Linked DNA regions of Macaca mulatta. The protein of the gene in region 1 purifies or fractionates together with the protein of each later gene. This does not show direct contact. Links are inferred from orthologs where the notes say so. Each region holds a gene or a part of one and is shown on either strand. Other genes may lie near its edges.

Region 1 (4,266 bases):
ATCACAGAAAAGGAACAAACATGTTGGATATTTGTTTTTCAGAACATTAACTAGGCTTTGGCCACCAGGAGTGACTTAGTAAATGGAACTGTTTCTCTGAAAAATTTTTTTTTTTTTTTTTTTGAGACGGAGTTTTGCTTTTGTTGCCCAGGCTGGAGTGCAGTGGCACGATCTTGGCTCAGTGCAACCTCCGCCTCCTGGGTTCAAGCGATTCTCCTGCCTCACCCTCAGGTGATCCACCTGCCTCAGCCTCAGACTCAGGTGATCCCGACCTCAGGTGATCCACTCCCCTCAGCCTCCCAAAGTACTGGGATTACAGGCGTGAGCCACCGCGCCAGGTGGGATTATCTCGTTTTTACTAGAAGGCTCTATCTCCTGGGGGTGGGATGGGGTGGTGAGATCAATTCACCTGGAAGTGGAAGCTGGGAACCTGGTTTGAGTTCTGATAGTTCTGGGGTCCAGCCCCTTATCTTGCTTCGCCTGGAGGGCTGAAGGACTGGAAATACTTTTGTTTTGGGGCTGGAACGCGGGCTGCAGTTTGGGAGGCGGCGGTAGTTTGGAAAAGGAGGCGGGGTCTGGTAAGCACTTTACCCGAATTGGGCAGTGGGAATTTGGGAATTGAGGACAATGGGAAGCTGGTTCTGAGTTTTAAACTGGGGAGTGACAGATCAGAGCTGGATTTTTAGGAGTTTCTCTGTCTGCAGGTTTAAAAAAGACCCGGGTGGGAGGTAGGGCTGGGGTGAGGAGGGAGAGAAGTGGACGATCTGAGAGCTGAGGCGGGGTGGAAGGGAGAGCAGCCTGTCAGGGGCTCGGGATTCCGGCCCAGGCGGCCAGAGATAGAGATGAGCTTCTTTCTCCGAACTGGGTTTGCTAACCTGTGACTGTCACTACTCCATGCTCCAGGGCACCTGGCCCAAGGGATCAAGCCTTTTGGGCACACAGATCCACCTGGAGCCCTGAAGGACCAGACAGGGACCTCGCCTTCTCTGTGTCCTTCCTGGGAAGGGGACTCCAGACCAACTGCCAGTCTTCCGGTTCCACCTCTCTGACAACCGCTCACCTCACCCTCCTTGGCATCTTTATTTCAAACGCTCTGTCCTTTTGTTTGCACGGGTTCCTGTGTCACATTCTGTGTTCCCATTTTTAATTGGAGAATAAGGGACTGCGTTATTCTACCCACAGGCCTAGCTGAGGGGATAGGGAGGCCGTGCCTACCTCCAAGGCTCTACGAAGTGAAGCAGGCGAGAATGTGCAGTCGTCGAGGCCAGAGGACCGGGCCTCAGCTTCTCCTTAAGACCCTGAGTCCTCCTCTGGGGACCACCCCGTTGTACCTGGAGGAGAAAATGCCCGCCCAGGAGGGAAGGGTTGGCCCCCAGAGAGCCCGCTGCGAAGTGAGTTTGCGCACTGCGGAGTGACTCCAGCGCGGCTCTGCCAGTCCGCGGGGCTGGCGGGGAGCAGGTTCGTGCACCGCGGGCTCTGCATGCAGAGGCGGGAAGCGCCCGCAGCCCGGCAGCCGGCCCAGCGGGAAGGCGCAGCCCGGGCTTCCGAACCCTGTGAACGAACGCGCAGGTTCCTGGTCTTCCAAATGGGCAGGAGTCGTCCTACCTGCCTGGGGTGGGAGGCCACATGGGGGCACTGCGCCCGGGAGCGGTCCCGGGTGTTTTCCAAATGCCCACTGCTGCTCTCATCCGTACCAGCGATGATCAAGAAGGGGCCTGGTCGCCCGGGGAGGTGCCCCGGTCCGACTTGACTCCGGGGACAACGCCGGGCGACGCCATCTGCGCAGGTCCCGGAAGGCCGCTTGTGTCTTTGTGCAGGGCGTGCTGTCTGTGGAAACGCGAGGGCACACTAGCACTTTCCTGTATGTATCATTATACTTCAATTTTTAGGAAGTACATTAGGAGGGCCTGCACCAGCCAAATTCGGGGATTAAAGCTTTTAAGCGGGAAGCACGCGCCCCGTGCTGTCCCTTTAAAGCGTTGGGCCGGCCCGAGGCATTCTGGCCGCTGCCGCTGCCCGTAGCGCTCCTCCGAGAGGCCGGCTTTGTGAGCTCGCCCCGCCCCCAGGACACCGCCCCCCTCCCCTCGCGCACGCGCACTGCGCCCCCGCCGCCTGGCGCCCGCCCGAGCTGCCGCCTCGTCGAGCTGAGTCCGCGCTCCCGCCCAGGCGGCGGCCGACGCGACGCCCCGAGCGCCCGGCCCCGCCGCCGCGGCCCGGCAGGTAAGCGGGTAGCCGCCCGGCCCGGGGAGCGCAAGGCGGGCAGCGGGGCGGCGCCAGGAGCCGCCAAACCACCCCCGGCCGCCGCACGTGTTCCCCGCCGGGCCTCGGGCCAGGCCCAGCCCCGGGCGCTGCTCCAGCTGCAGCGGCCCCGCCCGGGACCCCCGCCCTGGCCTCTCGGTGGACGGCTGCGCGCGTAGGCCCCTCCACCCCGTCCGCCCCCACTCGCGCCCCCACCTCCGCTTCCCCGGCGGGCCACTGACAAGGCCAGAGCGCCGGCACTGGGGCCTCTTTCCCGCAGGCGGCGTACCGGCCTCACATCGCCCCTCTTCCTCCTCTGCCCCTTCAAGGAAGGACCCCAGACCCACCAAGCCACTCAGTCCCTGGACGTGGTGCGCTTCCCCTCCTCGTAGAAACGCCCCCAGCCCGCTCCCGCCGCTCACCCCAACCCGAGGTAGCCAGGCTGCAGTTCGCTAGGTGGGGTCCTGGGGTGCGGGTCCTCGGTCCTAAACGGGGGGCCCACCGTGCCTCCTCGCGCGGGGCCGCAGACCTGTCCTGGCCGATCTGCGAGAGCCATTTTGAGCGGTTACGTTCCGGGACCAAACTGAGGTCGGCCTGTTATTTATCGCTAACGACACTCCCTGCTGTCTCGCTTGCAAGTTTCCACTCACCCAGGTCCGTTTACCCATCTCTTCAAATGCTAGTTTAATCTGTGACCTGGGCAGGTGCTGTGCTAGCCGGTGGGGAAGACAGGTAAGCGAAGGACCCAGGCGGAAGCCTGTCCAGGATCTCAGAGAGGTAGAGCCGGGTTCCCACCTGTGTTGGGCTGGCCACCTGGCTGGTGTTGAAGATGCAGATTAATTCTTGTCTTTGCACACAGTGTGCTCTCCTGACTGCACGCCGCAGGCAGGTTCCTGGGCTGGATCTCAGGGACTGAGGGACTCAGGCATCAGCCTGTGGCATGCAGTCCAGGAGGCCATACTGAGATTTGGTTGCTGGGCTTCAGGTGGTCAGGCTTACCTGGATGAAAAGCAGTGGCTGCTAGGTGGAGTCAGGCAGCAGCTGGTCTAGAGGTCACCTCCTCATCACCGTGCCTGTAACCTCGGTCCCCCCCCTTTCCTCAGTATCAAGTCTCCAACCTTCCTGTTCCCTCAAAATGATTGTTCCACAGAGACACCTGGTTGGTCATGAAAATGCCAAGCCTTGGCCCAGCGCGGTGGCTCACGCCTGTAGTCCTAGCACTTTGGGAGGCTGAGGCGGGCGGATTTTCTGAGGTCAGGAGTTCGAGATCAGCCTGGGCAACATGGCGAAACCCTGTCTCTACTAAAAATACAAAAAAGTAGCAGGGTGTAGTGGTACGCACCTGTAATTCCAGCTACACAGGAGGCTGAGGCACAATAATTACTTGAACCCGGAAGGTGGAGGTTGTAGTGAGCCGATATCGTTCCGCTGGACTCTTTGGACTCTGTCTTAAAAAAAAAAAAAAAAAATGCCAAGCCTAGATGCCACTACTGAGGTAGAAACTTGGCAGGTGTGTTGGGTCAAGAAATTGCATCTCTCCCCCTACCACCACCACCACGGAATTTTTCACTCTTTGGCCCAGGCTGGAGTGCAGTGGTGCAATCTTGGTTCACTGCTATCTCTGCCTTCCAATTTCAAGCGATTCTTCTGCCTCAGCCTTCCCAAGTAGCTGGGATTACAGGGACCCGCCACCACACCGGCTAATTTTTGTATTTTTAGTTGGGACGGGGTTTCTCCATGTTGGCCAGGCTGGTCTTTATCTCCTGGCCTCAGGATCTGCCCGCCTCCTGCCTTGGCCTCCCAAAGTGCTGAGATTACAGGCGTCAGTCACCACACCCTGCCACTGTATTCTTAAAAGTCAGGTTAAGGTTGTTTTGTTTGTTTCTTTTAAATGTTAATGGTTTTTGAGCCCAAAGGGTTGGGCAGGTTGGGCTTGAGCTGGGAGGGGCTGGGCACCTTTTTTGTAAGACCGCCTACCTGTTGTTCCTCATGTGAGGGTGTTTCCAGGTGTCTACCCTCACCTAGGTG
Region 2 (3,563 bases), on another chromosome or scaffold:
TAGTAGAGACAGGGTTTCACTATGTTGGCCAGGCTGGTCTCGAACTTCTGACCTCATGATCCACCCACCTCAGCCTCCCAAAGTGCTGGGATTACAGGCGTGAGCCACCGCGCCCAGCCACAATCATATTCTTGGTAGAAGCAATGAAGAAACCCTGGATCTCCAGTGCTAGCACCATGGCTTTCCTTCTGCCCTCAGAGGAGGCAGGTGGTCAGGTAGACAGGCTGGGTGGAGTTGCAGCCTATCTCCTGGGCTACGCGTGAACAGCTTGAGTAAGCACAGCTCACATTCAGAACCCAGCCCACCTGCCCAAACCCGGAACCCTGGGGAGAGAAAGGACCCACCTGGGCATGCCGAGCCCGCAGTTTGTTGAGAATGTTTGTGGCATCAAAGCCAGCATTGTCACACAGCTGGCGTGGGATAATCTCCAAGGCCTTGGCATACGCCCCAATCAACAGCTGCTGTTTTCCTGGAATAGTCCTTGAGTAATCCCGCAGGTACTTGGAGAGCTCCATCTCAATGGCCCCGCCACCAGCCACCACTGAATCATTCTGCAGAGATCAGACCTCTCAATGGAAGAAGGCCCCTGGTCCAAACTTCCATGCGGGGCCACTCAGTAGGTCCCTTCAGCCCAGAAAGAGTGGTTCTTCATTCCTTCCTCCATCCCAAGCCCCAAAAGCCCAGACACAGTCCCTATCTAGAACATCCCAACTTCAACCTGCTGAACCTTATGGTTTCTATTTTCAAGGTCACCTGCAGCTCAAAGACATTGGCACAATTACTGGAATACCTGACTACATTAGATCCACAGTTTGCTAACAAAATCAAGTGTTTCTTCTGCTTGCTCTGTTGCCCAGGCTGGAGTGCTGTGGTGTGATCATAGCTCATTGTAGCCACCAACTCCTGGGCTCAAGGGATCTTTCCACCTTAGCCTCCCAAGTAGCAGGGACTGACTGCAGGCACATACCACCATTCCTGGCTAATTTTTTTTTTTGTAGAGACAGGGTCTCGCTATGTTGCCCAGGCTGGTGCCAAACTCTTGGCCTCAAGCAACCCTCCCACCTCGGCCTTCCGAAGTGTTGGGATTACAGGTGTGAGCTACCACACCTGGCTAAAAGAACAAGTCTTAGCTTTCAAGGCAGGATGACCTATTTTTGAGAAACTGAGGCTCAGTTTCTCTACCATTTGTGGGGCAAATCAGGGCTCACCACACCACCCAGGAAAGGGCAGGTTATATAGAGAAGGAATCACCACACAAATCCAAGGTCTGATCAGCTAGGGAGATGAGAGTAGGCTGTGCAGGCAGGAGGCCATCAGCCCCGTACCTTGATGGCCCTCCTGACGATCATGATGGCATCATGCAGGGACCGCTCTGTCTCCTCCATAAACTGCTCGGCACCGCCACGGAGGATGAAGGTACATGTCTTGGCCTTGGGGCAGCCAGTAAAAAAATTGTACCTATGCCCAGGATTAAATAGTACACACATGAACTCTTGTCTGCCACCGTCCTACTGTATTGCTCTCACTGCCAGCCCTCCCAACACTCAGCAGCTGCTCTTACATTCTTCACTCAGGTTACCCAATCCCAACCTTACAGACGCTTTCTTGGAAAGGTCTACAACTGTACCACCAGGGCATAGAAGATTGTGGAGTCAAGGCTTTAGATCTTCCTGTAATGCTGTACATTATCTGAGCTCTTTATGGCTCAAAGGTGAGACTCCGTAAAACCTGTATACCACAGCCGAAAGATGGCAGAAGACCAGATCCAGGCGGGTTGTGAGCTCGGCCTGGGCCCACGGCTCACCTCTCGCCTCCAATCTGGGTCTCTTCAAACACCTGACATCGACCCAGCACATCTGCTGACAGAGCATTCACACTGGTCTGGATTGAGCCTCCACACGCCTAGGGAGCAAGGAAGGCAAGATCTAGCAGTGAAGGTTCCCGAGGCCAGGTAGCTTCCTGCCACCTCGTCTCAAGGCCAATTCCCATGCCTCTGCATTACCCGCCCTTTCCCTTGACTTCCAGGCGACCCTTCCCCACCTCTGAAAGAGCAAAAAACCAAAACAGAACTAAAACACATCAAGGGCAAACAGGAGAAGTTAAAAAGGAGATAAGGACCCATTCGATTCAGCTTATACTCCCTCCCCTAACTAGGGTGGCACTGGGTCCGGCACCTGAACTCAGGAGTACTTTAAACCTAAAAGTATCGTTTGTGGGATGCTCATGAAAGGGAAGAAATTTGGCTAGAAGAATCCATATTTGAGTTTGTCCAGCTAATCATAGCATTACTGCTAGGTTCTCTCACAAACCAGATTTCTGGACTTGTTTTGGTTAGACTGAAGTAGTTTGTGCCACTGGGCACACACACATGGAAATGGAGTGCTTCCTGGAAAAAAAGAGAGTTAAAAAAAAAAAAAAAACAGGGCTCAATTCACATGCCAACCTGACAGTACACTATCTGTTATACCAGGGGTCAGTGAAAACCCTTCAGGGCCACAAAGGCCAAGAAGCAGCCTGTGAAAATCTGGTTACCATCATTGTCCTCTTCAGATCCTCCTCAGGTACTCGGCCAGCACAGAACATGTCCCTGTCAGCAAAGTACTGGGTGGCCACATCCCCAATGGGGAGTTTGGACAAGACAACTTTGGCTCCAGAATGATGGATCTTCTCTAACTTGTCATAGAGAATGTTCCACTCAGCATCAACAATTGCCTGATAATCCTGGAGAGACCCAGAAAAGGATGAGAATGCTTTGGGGTGAAGGTTGACATATATGGTAAGGTAAAATACACCCACCCGCCCCCACCAAATAAAACATGCTGATTTATCTGGGAATTAACAGAGATAAACAGAATAGCCACTCCTCAGTCCAAGCAAACAAGGACCCCATAAGATGACTTACGAATCACCTGAAACTCCCCAACACAAAAACAGAAAGTAACCCCAAGGCTGAGAACCAGAGCTAGTGCTGTCAAGATGTGAGAAATAATTTAACCTGGCTGAGGTCTAGCCTCTTCTGAGGTGCTGGATTCATGGAGTTCCCAATAAGACCCCTTTGGCTGGGCACAGTGGCTCATGCCTGTAATCAGAGCACTTTGGGAGGCCGAGGCGGGTGGATCACCTGAGGTCAGGAGTTCAAGACCAGCCTGGCCAACATGGTGAAACCCTGTCTCTACTAAAAATACAAAAAAAAATTAGCTGGGCGTGGTGGCACATACCTGTAATCCCAGCTACTCAGGAGGCTGAGGCAGGGGAATTGCTTGAACCCAGCAGGCAGAGGTTGCAATGAGCCGAGATTGCACCACTGCACTCCAGCCTGGGCGACAGAGTGAGACTCCATCTTGAAGGAAAAAAAAAAGACCCCTTCCCCAAGAACTGCTCAAAGATGGGTGACACGGCTACCTCCAGAGGTAGCCTGGGTAACATCAACAATGAGAGCACACCTGTCTCTGCAGCACTAGGTCTAGTCTAGAAGTGGAGGAACTCACACCTGCACCAACAAGAGGAACCAAAATACCAGGCAGGCTATGTAGCTATAGAGGCCCTGCCAACCCCTTCCCCAG

What was found. Proteins that work in one complex are often made in the same cells at the same time.
Region 2: the proteins of WDR5 (region 1) and CCT7 purify together in Homo sapiens (affinity purification with mass spectrometry; 3 studies listed by BioGRID and IntAct, with this or other methods). This does not show direct contact. The link is inferred for Macaca mulatta from reciprocal best matches to the Homo sapiens genes WDR5 and CCT7.

Annotation. Positions count from the first base shown.
Region 1 is NC_133420.1:8,377,310-8,381,575, reverse strand, and holds the start of WDR5 (WD repeat-containing protein 5), read left to right. Parts: upstream 1-1,433; 5' UTR 1,434-1,480; coding exon 1,481-1,569; exon of another isoform or gene 1,570-1,697; coding exon 1,698-1,861; intron 1,862-2,101; exon of another isoform or gene 2,102-2,220; intron 2,221-2,275; exon of another isoform or gene 2,276-2,970; intron 2,971-4,266.
Region 2 is NC_133418.1:51,484,064-51,487,626, forward strand, and holds part of CCT7 (T-complex protein 1 subunit eta), read right to left. Parts: intron 2,722-3,563; coding exon 2,533-2,721; intron 1,903-2,532; coding exon 1,805-1,902; intron 1,459-1,804; coding exon 1,326-1,458; intron 552-1,325; coding exon 345-551; intron 1-344. UniProt on the Homo sapiens protein: Component of the chaperonin-containing T-complex (TRiC), a molecular chaperone complex that assists the folding of actin, tubulin and other proteins upon ATP hydrolysis.